Schizosaccharomyces pombe: one gene and its partners. Changing the gene in region 3 together with the main gene of any one other region gives a genetic interaction. Each region holds a gene or a part of one and is shown on either strand. Other genes may lie near its edges. The genes, in order: aga1, fil1, cdc37 and mpc1.

What was found.
Region 1: mutations in cdc37 (region 3) and aga1 together harm fitness more than expected from each alone (negative genetic interaction), as found in Schizosaccharomyces pombe (one large-scale study listed by BioGRID).
Region 2: mutations in cdc37 (region 3) and fil1 together harm fitness more than expected from each alone (negative genetic interaction), as found in Schizosaccharomyces pombe (one large-scale study listed by BioGRID).
Region 4: mutations in cdc37 (region 3) and mpc1 together harm fitness more than expected from each alone (negative genetic interaction), as found in Schizosaccharomyces pombe (one large-scale study listed by BioGRID).

The regions. Positions count from the first base shown.
Region 1 is NC_003423.3:335,851-340,114, forward strand, and holds aga1 (glutamate N-acetyltransferase), read right to left. Parts: upstream 2,431-4,264; 5' UTR 2,289-2,430; coding exon 951-2,288; 3' UTR 599-950; downstream 1-598. Other genes in the region: mti2 (translation initiation factor IF-2Mt), read left to right, coding at 1-598.
Region 2 is NC_003421.2:809,753-815,225, reverse strand, and holds fil1 (zf-GATA type transcription factor), read right to left. Parts: upstream 3,537-5,473; 5' UTR 2,572-3,536; coding exon 898-2,571; 3' UTR 518-897; downstream 1-517. UniProt on the Schizosaccharomyces pombe protein: Activates genes required for amino acid biosynthesis and acts as a master transcriptional regulator during amino acid starvation. Binds variations of the DNA sequence 5'-GAT[AC]GC-3'.
Region 3 is NC_003423.3:1,829,047-1,833,649, forward strand, and holds cdc37 (Hsp90 co-chaperone Cdc37), read left to right. Parts: upstream 1-2,040; 5' UTR 2,041-2,142; coding exon 2,143-2,165; intron 2,166-2,225; coding exon 2,226-2,252; intron 2,253-2,329; exon of another isoform or gene 2,330-2,581; coding exon 2,582-2,592; exon of another isoform or gene 2,593-2,634; coding exon 2,635-3,974; 3' UTR 3,975-4,084; downstream 4,085-4,603. Other genes in the region: mdl1 (peptide-transporting ATPase), read right to left, coding at 1-1,794; SPOM_SPBC9B6.11C (CCR4/nocturin family endoribonuclease), read right to left, coding at 4,121-4,603. UniProt on the Schizosaccharomyces pombe protein: Co-chaperone that binds to numerous kinases and promotes their interaction with the Hsp90 complex, resulting in stabilization and promotion of their activity.
Region 4 is NC_003421.2:198,564-202,184, reverse strand, and holds mpc1 (protein mpc1), read right to left. Parts: upstream 2,084-3,621; 5' UTR 2,056-2,083; coding exon 2,054-2,055; intron 2,014-2,053; coding exon 1,909-2,013; intron 1,821-1,908; coding exon 1,726-1,820; intron 1,543-1,725; coding exon 1,502-1,542; intron 1,436-1,501; coding exon 1,341-1,435; intron 1,286-1,340; coding exon 1,198-1,285; 3' UTR 560-1,197; downstream 1-559. Other genes in the region: mug146 (protein mug46), read left to right, coding at 1-413; sec6 (exocyst complex subunit Exo3), read left to right, coding at 2,869-2,906, 2,962-2,989, 3,052-3,156, 3,215-3,280, 3,355-3,621. UniProt on the Schizosaccharomyces pombe protein: Mediates the uptake of pyruvate into mitochondria.

The DNA of each region.
Region 1 (4,264 bases), 1.5 Mb from region 3:
ATGTGAAGACACTGGGTCCATGGAGGCCCTGTCAGATTATCTCAAACCATTACAATTTGGAAAGGTAAAATCTCGAGTCTTGTATACTGGGGTGGGTCCAGTAACCGAAACTGATATTGAGAGAGCTGAAACATCCGATGCCATCATTATATCGTTCGGTGTTTCCGTTCCGAAAGCTACTTTTCGTTTAGCAGAAAAACACAATGTAAAGCTGTTGTTTCACAACGTTATTTATCATTTAATGGATGATGTACGGAAACTTTTTGCTTTGCGATTACCGCCCATATTGGTTCAGCGTGTTACCGGAGAAGCTATTATTAGTGCAATCTTCGACATCAAAGCTAAAAGAGCAGTTGTTCATGTCGCTGGTTGTCGAGTTACTAATGGAACTATTGAAAAATCCCATAAAATACGTTTAGTACGTAATGACAAAATTATTTGGTCTGGTGAAATTGACAGTCTAAAACACTTAAAAGAAGAAGTCACCAGTATTAAAAAAGGCAGGGAATGCGGTATATTATTAAAAAATTTTGACGAAATAGTTACAGGGGATAAGCTACAAACATTTGTTGAGGAATACAAACCTCCTGATTTTTAGCATGCACTTCTTATTTAATCCTGGCTTGAACTCCTTTCAATTAAGGCAGGCAATCGAATGAAAAGATTCATGTTATTATGATATACTATGATTGATGTTACATGCATAATGAACTTTCGCTTAAAATTGCAAACTTCTACCATAAGCAAGCAAAGCTTTTTATACATACTTTTTTGTTAATGAATGCATCTCAGCAATCCTTTTTTTCTGTTAGACACGTATTGTAAACGAACGTCGTGTATGTTCATCAAATTGAATTGAAGAGTTTAAAGCTGTAAAAACATGAAGCTTTCTTGGTATCAAAGCGTAGAGCTCACTCTTGGTTAATTTGGTAACTGACCACTGTTCTTTTTTAACTGCGATAATCAGCATTAATACGAACATAGTCATACGAAAAATCGCAAGTCCAATTTGTTTTGGCATAAGGACCACATCCAAGATCAACGTCTACAGTGAGTTCGTCTTGCGATAATATTTCGCTAGCACGGGTCTCATCGACATTTTGTGGTTCACCATTTACTAAAAGCTTCAATGGTTCAGTTCCGTCTGCAGGAATAAAACTAACGGTCGTAGCAGGAGGATTGACAGCAGCACCTGAATAACCGACGGCACACAAAATACGACCCCAGTTAGCGTCCTCACCAAAGAATGCCGTTTTCACCAATGCAGAGTTACTAATGGTTGATGCCACCAACGCAGCGTCTTTCTCTGATCTAGCGCCTCTGACTTGCACAGTAACGAATTTCGTAGCACCCTCACCGTCACGGACAACCAGCTTTGCAAGTTGTTGAGCAATATCCGTTACAGCATCACGAATCTCCTTGTATGCAGGGGAAGACTTGGTAATCTCGGATCCACCAGCAGCTCCATTTGCAAGGAAGGCAATTGTATCATTTGTACTCGTATCACCATCAATACTGATAGAATTGAAACTGTTGTTAATTGCATGACGAAGTATAGATCGGACTGCATCAACTGAGATTGGGGCATCTGTAACAAACAAACCTAAAAGAGTGGCCAAGTTGGGATTGATCATACCTGCGCCCTTGGCAAAACCTGCAATCCTGTAGACTTTGCCTGCAATACTAAGTTCACGGGAAACGAGTTTAGGGAAAGTATCCGTAGTGCAAATGGCCTCAGCTGCTCTCATCCAGTATTCATGAGTGGACCCGAGGTCTTCAACCGCGTGTTCCAAACCGCTTTGAATCTTGTCTAACTTCAAACGTTGTCCAATAACACCAGTCGACATCACCAACGACGAGGGAAATTCCTCTGAATTCTCAGTCCACGAAGTCCAATGTGGACGAGTCAAATTATCAGCTTCGGCGGTAATGAGTTGGGCATCCATCAAACCGCCCTCACCAGTAACAGCGTTAGCGCAACCGCTATTGAACACGACACAGTGAATATCTTTACCGCCACAGCCGTTCAGAGTTTGGCGTGAAACTTGAACTGGAGCAGCTTGAAATGCATTCTTAGTAAAGACGGCTGCGGCGTTGCATGGTCGAGAGGAAAATAAAATGGCTAAATCCTTTTTTCCATTGGCTTTTACGCCGGAAGCAATACCATTTAAGCTGAAACCTTGTGGATACGTTCCAGATTTACTGATGAATTTGGTCTTGTCGGGCATCGTACCAACAAACCGAGCCCGACCAATGCCAGCAAGACGTGCAAAAATTTTGGTTTGCATAGCAATGAATTTAATGGTCAGTCTTGTAACAAAATCAGTGGATCCCTTTTTTAGTAGAATTGAACGAGCAGTTTAATAAAAGCTACAATAATGTAAACTTGCTTTGTATATAAATATATATATGCGATGGCGGTAGTGGTTTAAGAAGGATGAAGTCTGAATCTTCGAAGCGGTTATCAAGTGAAACTTGATAAGAAGATGGGAATGCTGCACAACAAAAGTAGGTATAGCGAACAACTAATTTGTTTGAAATTTATTATTCTTACGTTTAATTAATGATACTTTATGAGCCTTACGTTCGAAAGGATGAAAACAAGTAGCTCCCTAAACCTTACATTCGGGATTAGCTTTGCCTTCGTTTTCTCAGATCTACATTACAGAATATCAGTTATCCCTCTCATAATGTAGTGCAAAGAGAAGGGAAAAATGCTGGGATCTGTCTGTTCTGCTGCTTTTACACATTCATGAACATATAACTGATAGATTTTCAGTTTAATTGGGGCTGCTACCACTGTTTAATTTATTTGGTTGAGTTTCAAACAGCAAAGAAAAACTTCGTGAAATCGGCAAAGTCCAACCACCTCCAAGTTTTATTGCCTTTTTCAAACTTTTCATTGCTTTTTTTAAAAAAGAAAATACCAATTCATGCTTCCAACGCATCATTTCACAATCAAGACTTGCATGTAAATTTAAAGCCAGTTCATCAACATTTTACGTGAAAAATTTCAATTCCTTAAAGTGTGTTTTAAGCAAGAAATAGAATAATAATCTTTATAGTGTTTGATTTATTTCAATTTAACTCGTTTCATTCATTAATAGCTGTTCCTTGCGATTTCAAATTTGAAGGCATGTTGAATTTGGAAATTCTATGTGTTGCTATTCTCTTCTCTTTTTTAAAGAGAAATGTTTAAATAGTATTAATGGTTTTAACTATGCTCAAAAAAAGAGGGAGCACAGCACAACCGAAGACCAATGCAACATACCATTGTTGGAATTGAATTAGCTTGCTGTGGTTATTGTTTATTTTCAATTTTTTTTATGTTGGTTTGCAGGGTTTAACGAATGGTTTCAGCACGTTTTCAAACACTTTCATAGTTTAAACTGGTTCATCAATTTTAATCACAAATAAGCGTTTAAACAAACTGCGGGTTTTGTTTCGCATCAAACTTTCAAGTTTCACGTTTAATTCATTAACAAAATTTAATGTAGTTTAATCTGTTTCAGGAATACGTTTTAATATTGTTTCAACAATAGTTCAGGTACAGTCGTTTTATTTCTTTTCTGTTTCAGTCATTCGCAAAGTTTAAACATTGTAAGTGCTTTCAAGGATAACAATGCAGCCAAAAAGTGTACCAAAAAGAATTCAATTACAGTAGACAAAAAATGGAATCCATTTTTAAGTAGATTCCATCAGTCATAATAATAACTATCACTATCTAAGCTACTATTCATCCAAAAAAGAGACAAGGCTCACATAAACCAACTTGGGGGTTGGTTTAACTGGACCCCATCAAGAAATTTAACAGAGCTTAGAAGACAAGGTAAAAAGAAAAGTGGTACCGAATCCAGCTTTTTGAATGACCATTTCAAAATGTTGCAAGAAAACAACGTTTCTTATAATATTCCAAATTAGAAAAAAACGAACAAACCACAACACAAAGAAAGAGACATTCAACCAACTAAAGCGATCTTGCATGCATATTCCGTCTTACAATAGTAAAAGAGAAGTGCTTTTAAATCAAGACGGCAGAAGATTGACCAACATTTTAATACCCACTAAGTCTGTTTACCTCCCTTGTTTCGCAGACTTCATCGACTATTTATAGGAATTTCCAATGCATAGTGAAAGAAACTCAATTCTGTCCAATAATTTAGTTCACGCCTACTTAAATGACGTAGTTTATAAAAGCTCCAATGCTTTGTTAGTTTACTGAAAGAAGAGCCAATCAAATATTAGCAAGCGACTGATAGCATAA
Region 2 (5,473 bases), on a different chromosome or scaffold from region 3:
TAACAATTCATATGTTTTAATATTTATATTATTTTCGTTGTGTAAAGCTAAAAAGCAAGGCTAATGGCAAATATGCCTATATTGTCCTTACACTGTACTGAATCGGTAACAATTGACAAACACGCTTTTATAACATTTTATCAGTGCTTAATTAAATTCAATACATCAATAATTTATTGTTATTTAATTCACCGCTATTTTTGAATAAAGCCAAACTAATTCAAAGAGTATTAATACGTTACTTGTTTCAACAAAGTTTCTTTGCCTCTTACATACAAAAAAATGCTCCACGCCTGCCTACTCGTCTGAGCTTCTCAAAGCTAACCCAGACGGTGAGGTATGGGTAGTACGCTTAAGCGCCATCCATTTTCAGGGCTAGTTCATTCGGCAGTTGAGTTGTTACACACTCCTTAGCGGGTATCTACTTTTAAAACAAACTGCGTATTCGCTAACTAACATTTGCACAACTTAACTTCAAGACTAAAAAAAACTACAAGCTACAGCAACAACATTAAAATGTAAAGAGCACTTAAAAATTGATCAGTCAATTTAATTTCAATCAGTAAGACTAGAAATAAAATATCAAGTGAAATTTTTGTTTATAGTTGCAAAAGCAAGATACAAAAAAAAAGAACAAGAAAAATGAAAAAATAAAAAATTCCAATAAACCCACACATCAACCCTTTATGCCATATCTAATCAAAAGTATATCCCAAATGTGTATTCAAATGTATAGGTTTTAGCTACAAAAGTAATCTTTCAGTACGAAGCGTAGTCTTCAAAACGATTGAAACTTGCAAGCTGTAATAAAAACATAAACAAAAGCTAGAGTAGAAAATAAAAGAGTTTATAAAAACCAAGGTGAAAAAAAAATCAATAGACTCTTAGTAATGTCTTTCAACAAGAGACCGAAAATTTATTCTCTATTTCTTCCTCCTTCTTGACAATAACCGAGTTGTCCAACGAATCAAAAGAGATTTTTGCATGCTCCAACGAAACATCAGCATCGGTATTCGGCATTTTCGAAACAGAAACAGAGTTGGTAAGCTGAGGTGATTCAAGACCCTTTGAAGAGAGTATCTCGGCCATCGTGACGGATTTTGAGAGTACGGGGAATTCTGATTTTACCTCGTCAGACATTCCATCTTCTCCACCAGGGCCCTTACCACGACGACGTCGGGTAATTTTGTTCTTCTTCAAACCAATAGGACGATTGTGGCCATGAAGACGGGCATACAAACCACAAGCGTTACAAACAGTCTGTCCGTGACGATCTTTGCGCCACAACGAAGTTTTCGTAGAAGAGCAATTGGCACACACCAAATTCTCAAGTGCCTTAGATGAGCCTTTGTTTCTAGGAGACAATGGTCTCATAACACCATACTGTTTGTTGTAAAGACCACAAGCATTGCACAAGAAGTTAAGCTTATCTGATGTACGTCTCCATAAAGGCGTTTCAGTGACTCCACAGTTAAAACAGACATGTTCGCGATGTTTCTTTTGTTTCATTACACGTGCTGCCTTACTAGCCTTTTCAGTTTTAACGGCAGCAAGGGGTGTAGAGCCTTTCATTCCCTCTGCTAACGTCGACTTCAGACTGAGAGAAGAAGAGTTAGAGGACAGATTAGGAGTGGAAAATTGGGGCAACTTAAGTGAAGCATCCATGAGTAATGAACGAGCCTTTTCATCTGTTTCAAAGCTTTCAAACGAAAAGAATGGATCAACGGTAGCGATCGAATCGGACAAGCTAGGAACTGAGCCCAAGAACTCAGATTGGGATAGCAAAGCAGAAGACGAACCAGTCAAGGATGAGCTCGATTCGGAGAGCTTCGAGGGAGACGTGGAATCGTTCAGCTCCCTTTTAACAGGCGACTGAGGTGACATGAAGCCCAGATTGCTTAGCTTGCATCCATAGTTGGTGGGATAAGATATGGAAGCAAACGCACGCTGACAATCACCATCAGAGGCAGGGAAAAGAGGGGCTTGACTTTCATCGAAACCAAACTCGGAATCAAGAGCACCAGGGAATGGTGTATCGATTAATGCCGAGCTTGGCGTTGGGATGCAGGGAGTCTGTACATAAGAGAAAGGGGGTGTGGGTTCTGACGTCTTACTGGAAGACAAGGCAGCAATGTCAATATGAGAGTTCGACAGTATGGTAGACTTTAGCAATCCGGAATCACCGAGTTGCGCAGACTCTAAATCAGAACATTGCCTTTGATTGTCGAAATCCATGCTGTCAAGAAGAGACCAACGAGCAGAGGGGTTGGTTTGCAATTTCTGATTATTCTCCGTAGAGTTAAAAGCCAAGGGATAATCAGAAAGCAGTTGCAACATTGAAACCGAATCAAAATCAACATCTCCCTTGCCTGGCGCATTGGCGAAAAGGGCATCCTTATGAAGATCAATGGGAAGATTTGCGATATCGGATAATGCTGTATCAGCGGGGGAAGTGAAAGTAGGGTCAAATTCGGAAAATTGACCGTCAAACGACCCTTCAGTCATAGCCGAAGTAGGGAAAGAGGGCTGACCAAAGGGGAAACAAAATTCAGTAGTATCGTTGTAATTCATGATAACAAAATAATTGGATTTGCTATAAACACACAGACACAAAGATAATTATAAAAAAAAATAGAAAAACAAGGGAGAGAAACGAAATTATAATACCGAATTCAATCACACGCGAGTAATATGTTAGTCACACACAGACAAAAAGTAATAAATGTTTAATGTTGACTTTGTAAAAAAATAAGAAGCATAATGCACTTTGGGGATAGTTAAAAAAAACAATAGACCCGACCAAACGATGTAGAGATTCTAAAGACTCTAAATGTTACAACCAGAGGAAAAGAAAGATATTTGACCGAAATGAGTAAATAATAAAGGATTATTCCAACGAAATTAACTTGCGAGTTACATCATATTGGAGAATTATAAAAAAGAGATAAAAGGAAGACGATTAAAATAAGAGAGAAAATTATTTAATCAACCACAATAGTAGAAAAGATTAACCGAAAAATACTAAAAAGATATTCGATAAACAAAGAGATAGGAGAAAAATTTTGGTAGAGGGATAGAAAACCTAAAGCAAAATTAAGAAGATAAAAAAAATGAGGTGAAAAACAACCTACGATAAATTCTCAATGAGACAACATTTTGAATGATTTAGGAGAAAAAGACTTAACGACGACACGAGGACGAACGAAGCATGCTTTGTAAACGTAATATTGGGGGTGGAAACAAAAGATCCGAAACAACAAAAACAACCAGTATATTCGATTTCAACAAGGAAGTAAAATCAACTTAAAAAAACGAGGACTTTATAGATAATTTAACACATCTTGGGAAAAATTAAATCTGAAAAGTAACTAGAAAACTGAGGTATGTAAAAAAAAATATGTCAACACTAAATGGAGTAGAAGACAAAAAAATAGAGATTTAAAAGCTTAAAATAAATGTAATAGACGATTTACGAGATCAGGATGTTAACGCTGTACTAGTAAAATTGTGTGGTAGTTGTGGTGTTGTTGGTTGTTAGTAAGTTTGGTGTAGTGGTAAAATAAAAAAGGAAAAGAAAAAAACCGGCGGCGCAACGAGCTCTTAAATAGGAAGAACGTGACAAGAAAGCCACTACGTAGTCAACATTCATGCAGCTATTATGGACAGGTACGGCAACTTTTGATTGGTAGAGAGAGGAGGCATAATAGTAGGGACAGCGCCTTATCAGAGGGCTTATCGAACGATCGGGGTGACATCGGCCCCAAAGCTTATCGCATCTAAGTCGCTTTGTAAGTGGTGGGAAAAACATTAGATAGCCAATCAAAGATTGCAAAGACTTGAAAGCAACACCCAGGCCAGCACGCAATGAACCATCGTTCAAGTGCATTAAAGTATATAGCGAAAGAGAATGGAATGCAGTAAAATCAACCGGCTGTGGAAGTGAGTAGCGCCGATATCGCTATATAGGAAGTGTGGGGGTGTATATATAAAATGGGGGCGAAAGGGTTACTATAGAGACAAATAGACACGAGGTAACTAAGTAAGTAGGTAGGAGAAAAGCGAATTAACAATTTGAACTTGATAATAAAATAGTTGTGTATTTCTCAGTCAATTTAGAATCAATTGAGGAGAAAACTACATGATCATAGAAGGGAAAGAAGGAACACAGCGAAAGAAAGAAGCGTTAAACAATAGGAATGGTTCTTTTTGAACCGATTGTTTATAGAAATAATAAAATGAATGTTATGATGTGAATGTATGAGTGGAATGTGGATGTGAATATGAATATGAATATGAATATAAAAGAAGATGTAATTAAAAAGTAGGATTTGGAATTTTTCACAACAAAAACTCGATTAACTGTAAATGTCGAGTCCTATTGTTGGTTAAAAAGAAAATTACTTAAAAGTCCTTTTGTAATAAATTCTACTCTTAAAAATTAAAACTGTTTATGCCTTATTATTACACATGTGTCCGACATGCCTTGCCTGTCCAAAATGCCTTGTCTACTATACTTTTCTATACTCAGTCTAACGCATTTACTTTCTCTGCCTGCAACCTTTCTGACCCGCTATAACGATAGTGACTGTATTCGTTTAAGCTTAGTTTCCGTGTTCCATCATCAATTGTTAAGCTTATTTCCGCAAATACACTCGCTCTCGCTATTTAAAGAATTTTCGGATTTTTTCGGTCTGCGCAGTAGCGACTATGAAGGCAGCAGAAGTACATTCCTACCGGAGAATGAGTTCCGTTGGTATTACACACGGAAGGCAAGTGACAAGGCTAGTGAAGGATGATCGATTGATCCTATTTCTCGGGTTGTAAAGGCCCCAAAAATAGAGTGTTACAAGAAAGTAATGGGCCTTGCTTTGTGCGTATTTTTGTTATTCAACATGAGTTTGCTATAGCATGAATTTTCTCTGAAATGCGCATACTAAATTGCAAAACTTGTTTGATAAAAGTGCAATACACTTATCATAACGATGTTGATGAGTAAATGAATGTTGCGCATCACTTGACAGTAGCAAAGTGCAATTATTGGTTTGCGCAACGTTGTTTTGTTCATTTCGCCAACTTTGCTTATTCACACCGGTTCTATGTTCAGGCATTTTGTTGGTCGTTGGTTACTAGAGGAAAAACTGTTGTTGTTGATACAAACAGAACCCAATTGTCCTTCAACCCAATCGTTTCTCAATGTTTACATGGTCAAGGTTTGTAGTGGAATAAATGGAATGGGCTGGGATGAAAGGAAATTAGCACGTGGAAGTGTAAACACATGATTTTTCAGCAATCCCGCTAATGTGATAGGCTTGGGTGAGAAGATGAAAGAGAAATAAAAGAAATAATCGTTCATCAATTCGTTCAACAGTTATAAAACAACCCGACCAGATAAAGTATTTGAAAGATTGGAGTCATTCAAGAAAGCGTAAGGATTCGAGATTGGAATCGTTGGAGAGATAGAAAACAAAAAAAA
Region 3 (4,603 bases):
ATTCGCTCGTTTGGCAGCATCTTCGATTTCCTCTTGAGATGCGTTAGATTTACCGTAAGCAATATTTTCGCCAATTGTACCAGAAAATAAAACCGGTTCTTGTCCAACTAAACCAAAATGACTGCGCCATTGATGAACATTATATGTAGAGATGTCAACTCCGTCAGCTAATATTTTCCCACTACTAGGTGCGTAAAAGCGCAAAAGGAGCTGTGAGATGGTGGATTTTCCACCGCCACTAGGTGCGACTATAGCAACATTGGTGCCTGGATGAATGTCGAAAGATAAGTTATCAAATATTGAAGCTGAAGGACGAGTTGGGTATGCAAACCCAACATTTCTGAACGAAAGTATTGCCTTTCCGACTGTGACTGGAACGGGAATCCCAACGGTTGGAGCTATCTTCGGTTTAGCATCTAAAAGTTCAAATAACCGACTAGCAGCTCCCAGACCTTTCATAATATCAGTAAAACATCCTGATAAGCCAACAATGCTTCCACCGGCATAAACGGTATACAGCAAAAATGAACTTAGCTGTCCTACAGTTATATCACCTGCAGCAACCATTCTTCCGCCTAACGCAAGAATAGCGATTACAGTTGCGTTCCCAAGGAACCCTGTTGACCCGAAGAAAATACCGCTAGCAAAAGCCTCTCGCTTTGCCAGGACAAAGAGATTTCGAATGTAATCGTTGTAACGATTTACTTCTTGTCTTTCTCCTAGAAAAGCCTGTGTAGTCCGAACATTTGCGAGTTTCTCTTCTGAAACCCTTGTTAAATCACCGAGAGCATCTTGTGTAGTCCTGGAAAGTTTCCGAACATACTCTCCATAAAAGAAAGCTCCCAATGCAATTGGGGGTACAATTAGGGACATATATCCAGTGAGTCTCATGGATACGTAGAGCATCATCCCTATTCCAGCAATTGCACTAACTGAGCTACGAAGACCATCACTTAAGTACATTGATAAAGACTTACCGACAATACTCGAATCCGTCGTAAGACGGGATATGAGATCCCCATGTTTATGAAAGTCAAAAAATGCTCCATCTAATGACATGCATTTAGCAAACAAGCGTGCTCGAAGACGACTGACAATTCTTTCACTCAGTAGACGCAAGGTGATGATTCTACCAAAGTTACAAGCTGAACCAAGGAAAAATAAACCCAACAAACCAATATAAAACGTACCAGAAGGAATTCCCATGATATGCGTGACAGAAGAATCGCCTGACGAGCCAGCGTCTAAGATTTTGCCAACAATGTAGGGAATGGACATTGTAACGCCGGAGGAAACTAAGAGAAGAGATCCAGCAATAAAAAAATTCCATCCCTGACCCCTTGCTAGTGTGAAGAGACGAAAAACATTGACTTTCTTGTTTGGTGTTTGTAATGTACCATTTGTATTTATTTTTGAGATATCCTGTGCTTGCTCATCTTTTGATGGAACTGTAGAATTATGTCGCACACACAACTTTAAAAAAGCAAGTGATCGTATAGGAAGAATAGATCTAGAAAAAGGTAACGGAAAACTATTTTTAAAAGGATATATCTTAGAACCACTTGAGGCCTTTTGAGATAACGAGTTTAGGCTCACATTAACCTGTGAAGATAACTTACTGGTACTATAATATTCTGCATTTGGCGTGGGAAGTAATAGAGTATTCGTACTTTTGTAAGCCACGTTGTTTTTCAACCAAGTCAACGGTACTAAATAGTTTGCTCGAAATATTACGCGTTTATTGTAGCAGTGAGCGAATGGTACTCTCGAAAGTCCAAAACGTATTGGATCCATCCATGAATGTGCCTTTCAAAGGAAATGAACGGAATCTTTTCGAAACGGGGTTTACACAGGCTTTTGGCAACAAAAGGTGCGCAAAGTATGTACAAATAAATTATTTAATATATACTTTTTATTAGTATTCGTTCTATCAAATTTTCTCTTCTCTACGGTATTAGTAGTTTCGATAGAATTTCCACGAAGTACTCTACATTCGCATAAGGTAGGTGCTTTGGTACATACTAAGATTTCATTTACCTTAACACAACCACTTCTCTACAACAAGTCAAATCGACGAGAATAGCAAAGACATTTGTGTCTTTTACTTTTTTTAAATTTCTTGAAATTATAATTTGCTTCGAGATGGCAATTGATTACAGCAAGTGGTAAGTTTATTGATAAGTTTGTTTTTAAGTAGGCGAATATGAAGTTAACAGAATTGACAGGGATAAGCTAGAACTTAGTGATGACAGGTATGAAATATACGGTTTGGAGAGGAAATCGGCTCTGTAAGGACAATGGTTAAATACTCTACATGATGCCTTTGATTGGAGTACAATAAAAGAAGTCGAAATGAAATTTCATTAGTAGGATGGAATAAATTCAAAAATAAAATTCAGACTCATCTTTTTATCATTTTGAAGGACATGTTGGGTTCAAAAAGGCAATCATTAATTTGCAGTTTGTATATTTGATGCCAATTGGGTTCTTTTAGCTAATAAACAACCATTGTCAAAACATTCCTTTCTTTTCCTTCTTCATTTATTTTTCGTTTTGATAAATTCATGCTAACAACATTTAGTGACATTGAAGGTTTGTTACGGGTTGTATTCATATTAAATTAACCACATGCAGTTCATCCAAATGTCGATAAAAAGTCTTTTATTAGATGGCGCCAACGTGATATCCACGAAAAACGGGCTGTTAGAAAGCAAAAAATGGAAGATATCAAAGGTGCAATGGCGATGAATCGTAGACTCTTGTCTCGCATCTCCGAAATGGAGACTGTTCTTGAGAAGGAATCTCCTTCGGATCCTTATGTTTTATTGGGTTCATTTTTAGAGGCAAAAAAGTCTGAAGATATGGATAGTGCCATTCCTGGAGGCATGTCGTATCATCATATGCTTATGTCTTTATTAAAAGTAATTAAAGATGCCGAAGACACTACCGAAGAAAAATCTATGGATGATTCGGATAAATGCTTGAGACGATTAAAGTCACACAAAGAGCGTCTTCTGAAGTTGCTAGAAGATGCACAAAAGGAGTATGATACTTTAGAGGCTGAGAGTAAAAATTACATCACTTCTGAAGACTTGCATTTGGGCTTTGATTCCACCTATGTTCAGAAAAAGGAGCCTGAAAAACCTAAAAAGACTAAAACCAAAAAGGAGACCATCCAGGTCATTGAATCTCTTAATAACCCTACACCTCCTACTGATTTTCCCGGCGCTAAAGAGCAAGCTTCTACTGGTAATGCCCCTAAAAATCCTGTCAATGAGAATGAGTCGGAAGATGAAGAAGGGTTGTCTCTTTCTGAAGATGGTAAGAAGTTTGCCAATATTGATTTTGGTGATTATTCTTCATCGGAAGAGTTTTTGAAAGAACATTTAAATATCTTGGCAGATGAGGAAGAATCTGATGCTATTCTTTTGGAAGCCTTTAATGCTGAACTAGAAGGGAAGCCGTCCTTAGCAAAACAATATGTTCATCAAGCCCTTTTGATCAGCTATTGCAGACAGCTTGGACCAAATGGTTTATCAATATTTTTTCAAAAAATTAAAGACCCAAATCACCAATCTCAGCGGCTATTTTTAGAGGATGTTCATAATACATATGTCCGAATCCATGAACGTTCTGCTGCCATCAGCAAAGAACAAGCTGAAAGCGGTGAAGGAGTAGAACAAATCCAGCTCTGTGCAGTTGATCCTAATACGAAACTTTCCATCACCATCCCGGAGGCAGGTTCTACTGATCCAGAGACACAAAAAGCTCGTGCAGCTTTTGAGTCTTTTCCTCCTAACCTCCAAAAAGCTCTTATGACCAATGATTTAGACAAGATTAATGTAGTTCTTGGAAAAATGGCAGTTGAAAATGCAGAAGAAGTTGTGGAAAAGCTCAGCAGTACTGGTATGTTGAGTATCGAAGAAGGAATCATCGACACAACGAAAGGTGAGACTATTCCTCAATTGTCTTAAATTTTTCTGCTTACGGGTGTGCTTTTAGTAAGCGAAAACACCAAAGTTACATGTTTGCCGTTGGCATTTTTAAATGGATAAACAACAATGAAATTTTATTTATTGATTTACCATACCTTGTGTGTACCGTATAATAAAATAAGTATTTAAACAATTTGTACATTTGCCATCAAAGCAACGTGGTCGCTGGGATATCTTCCTTCTAAAGGCTCCGCTTCCTTCATCTCACTGGGTAAAGGCACACGTAACAGTGCCTTTAATTTTATACCTTCAACGACTTGATTTTCGGGAGTTTGAAGTGAGGTATCACGATTCATAACAAATATGTAGTCCAAATGGCCCTGGTAAGCATGAGCCCAATTGGTAAATGCTGGATGATCAAACGTATTTTTTGCATTTTCTGGGTGAACCAGTTTATAGCCCACTGAATAAAGACTGAAAAGTACGGGATTTTGCTCGTGCTGCTGATAAAAAGAACGGTAGTGAGGTACATAGTCATTTTGTACATGCAAAATTCTCTTTTTTGGGGTAGAAGCTGTGGATTCGGGAACACTTGAGGTAGAAGAGGATTGACATTCTTCTTTGTCATCTTCATTGGAATCATTTTCTGTCTTAGTACTAGCATTTTT
Region 4 (3,621 bases), on a different chromosome or scaffold from region 3:
CAAATTCGTTATATAAGCAAACCGATTTAACTTCCTTGTGTATGTTTAATCAGAATAAAATTCAGACCGATTGGTCTTCTATAGATCCAATGGATAATGACAAAATTGTTTGTGCAGACTTTGAGAAAAATTTCAACATTTTAAAAGAGCTCTTAAACAACACAAAAGATAACGGCATTGATCAACAAATCGTGCATAAGGAGCACATCTCTCATCTTGAAAAAATTTGGAAAAATATCAATGAAGAATCATCAGAGGATCCTTCATTATTGTTGCTACGTTTGGAATTCTTGCTTACGGATTTACAAACAGCCATCCGTAAATACTCAGATACGGTGTCTACAAACTCTGTCAATGAAGCATTTTTTGATAAAATAAAAATAGAATTACAAGCATTTGGCGTTCTGGTGTAAAATATGTGAAAGCTATTCTGAACTTCCCGATCATGTTCACCTAACTTTAAAAATTTTGGTGATGAAATGCTTTGACCTTCAATTTTGTGATCACGTATTACCGTTGATCGTTTATATTTTGTTTAATTTTCTTTTTCACTAATGACCTCCCTAATTGTTAGTATTTTCGATTTCTTTTAAGCCTAACATCTAATATATCGGAATATTACACAAAATTAATTAAAAAAGTAATTGAAACTACTTTTCCTAGTAAAAGCTAGATTGTGTAACTGAACTTGCTCTTTTAAAAAGTGACTTTACCGTTATCAATATATTCAATAAATATTCAGTAACCGACAAATCAGAAAACTAGTACGCCATGGTGCTACCATATAATAGTGTTAATATTTTGTATTAAGAAGTACAGAATACTAGAAGCCACAATCATAAAAATATCGTTCCACGTGACAACTTTTGCCTGAAAACATATTGTTGATATTATCAAAACAATTTAGTTGTGCTTCCACAAAAAACAAGGATACGACGTCTCGGACCAGTAAAATAGAAAAAGACATTTTGTAAAAAGAAAAAAGAATGTACATTAACAAAATAATGACGGACTTCAAAATTTGCAAATCCTAAACTAAATAGGAAAAATGAATTTTTCCTATATTAGAGCAAGTAATAAACCGATAACACATATTTCTCAGGTTTGCTTATTTATACCCTTCCTTCGAATCAATTTTGTTAGAGCAAGTGACTTATCCGTTCACTCGTATTTTAAAGAATAAATACTTGACCCTTTTCACTTTTGACGAGTGCCACTTTCAGGATGTTTGGCTGCTTGCATGATGTTCTCGAAAACAGATTGTTTAGAAGCACCTTCTTTGCCACTAATTAAATAAGTCGTTAGTAAACAATAGAATAACAAAGTCTCAATACACATACTACCAAAAGTTGACGAAACGAATTCCTTGTGCCGTTTGAACAGTGGTATTAAAGGCATGGCATCCGAGTAATAAATAGTTACGTGGGCTTACCATCTAAACGCTAGTTAGTAAAAGTTCTATCAAATATTGGAGAAAGGAGTAAGATGATTCAAAACATACCCAGGCATAACGCATAAAGACGCTGGAATAGAGAATAAGTGCTAAGGAGATTAACAAAAAAGCAACTTTTAAACGATACAGAAAGTCATCTCGATAACTGCATTGACAACAGAGATAACCACGATCAGCGGAAAAAAGGAAACTAACTCCAATCTCTAAAAGAGCTTCCCCAAAACCGCATTGTCATGGCCAAGTTATTGATATGACTATTTTTTAACACATACCACCTGTCATGCGCCCAGAAATAAGCCTGGGATCCTTTTTCAAATCCAAAATAGCAGCAATAGGAATTCCAAAATTCGACAACGGACCCCAGAAGCTATCTTATTAGCAAAGAAATCTTTTAAACCATAAATAATATAAAAAAAACGAGAGATAGCAATCTTTAAACCTTTCCATCTACTTACTGAGTACTACATAAATATTTTCTGAAATCAGGGCTTTTCAACCAGGTAATAAACCTTCTTGTGACCGACTGAGCAGCCTTTTGGCTCAACTTTTCTGATGCATTCCTACAAAAAAATGTTAAAACTGTTTTTTTTAGTGACATACATTTTTAAAAAAATAATATAGGCTGTGGTTGGCTTGCCAAAGGCTTCAAATTACTAGCTTATTATCCTATTAGTGGAGCAGAAAAATCGGAGATTAGCTACAGTCTCTTAATGTTTATACCTCAATCAGTTGATGAATATTGGAAGATTATATAACAAATAATCTATTATATATATATTTTTTACTTTATCAGGAAAAAATCTCACTTTTTGAAGAAATCAGATACCGAAGCTTTACGTAATCCATTAATTCACATTATGAGCTTTATTAATTGGATGTTAAAAGAAAAGAAATTCCTGTTGATTTTTTGTCAATTAAGAAGTATACTGATTTCTGGGATTATAGGGAAGAAGGATGATTTCGAGACAAAGTATATATTATTACTTAAATGAGCCTCGTAGACGATTTGAACACTATAGGTAAATTCGAACAGGACCAATTATTTAAATTTTTGTAAAAAGGTATGCTAACTATTTTTGGATAACAAAAACAAAAAATTTGGCTAAATACTCATTTAAACCCTTGCTCAGATCTATACTATTCTATCAATCTATCATTTAAATATTATAAAAATAGAGCAATGCGAATATTTTCCTTACACCTTATTACGAGTGTGAATTTGATATTAAAATTTATGCTGTACAAACTTCTTAAATTAGTTAAGGAAGTTTGACGAGAGAATTATTTGTTTTACGGAAATGAATTGCAATGCTTTAAAGCTGCCTGCCTTTACAACCAGTCCGTAAATATATTAATCAATCTGTCAGTAAATAGAAACGTTTGTAAGCACTAGGTCTGCTTATAACTTTAAGAAAATGACCGCTGCCGCATCGGATGATGCTGTCTATAACAAGTAAGGATTATTTATCAAAATACCATTTATGAAACGATTACTCTAACTTTGTCAGGGTAGCGGATATTCTTAGACAATGTGAGGTAAGTGGTCCTTGTTAGGATGCTTGGAATTAAGATCGAAAGCTAACAATTGATGATTTTAGGATTTTCATCGATTATCTACTCATATTGAGCGATTTGAACGCGAGCAAGCGTCTCTTAATATGCATGTGAAAACGGAGCTCGAAAAGCACGTGGAAGCCGTTGAGGTTAGCACAAATATTAAATTAATGCGATAATTGTAATTGATCTAACTTACGTCTTTAGTTGGGGAAATTGGCACTGCATGATGCTCAAACGAAAAGAGTGAAGCTTCTTCAGGAATTGCATAACGTGAGTAAAGTCGAAGCTTAAGCTTTCTTGACATTTTCTAAAAGACTTTTTTACTAATGTTGATTTTTTTTTAGATGTTGACTTTATGTGAGAGTGCACGCGAGATGGTCGATGAATTTCCGTTAATCAGTCGCATGTCTCGGATATACAAAAATTGTTATGCAACAAAACAAATGATATCGCAGTTAAATAATTTAGTCAAGGAGACAGATGTAATAGAAGACATGTTGCGTGAAGATTTAGAACTTGACTCTGATATGCCAAATTTGTTACGCGCCCATTATAAACTTTCTAAGCTTCGAGAATTCCGTGAAGAAGCCCTATACCAGGCATCCCTTGAA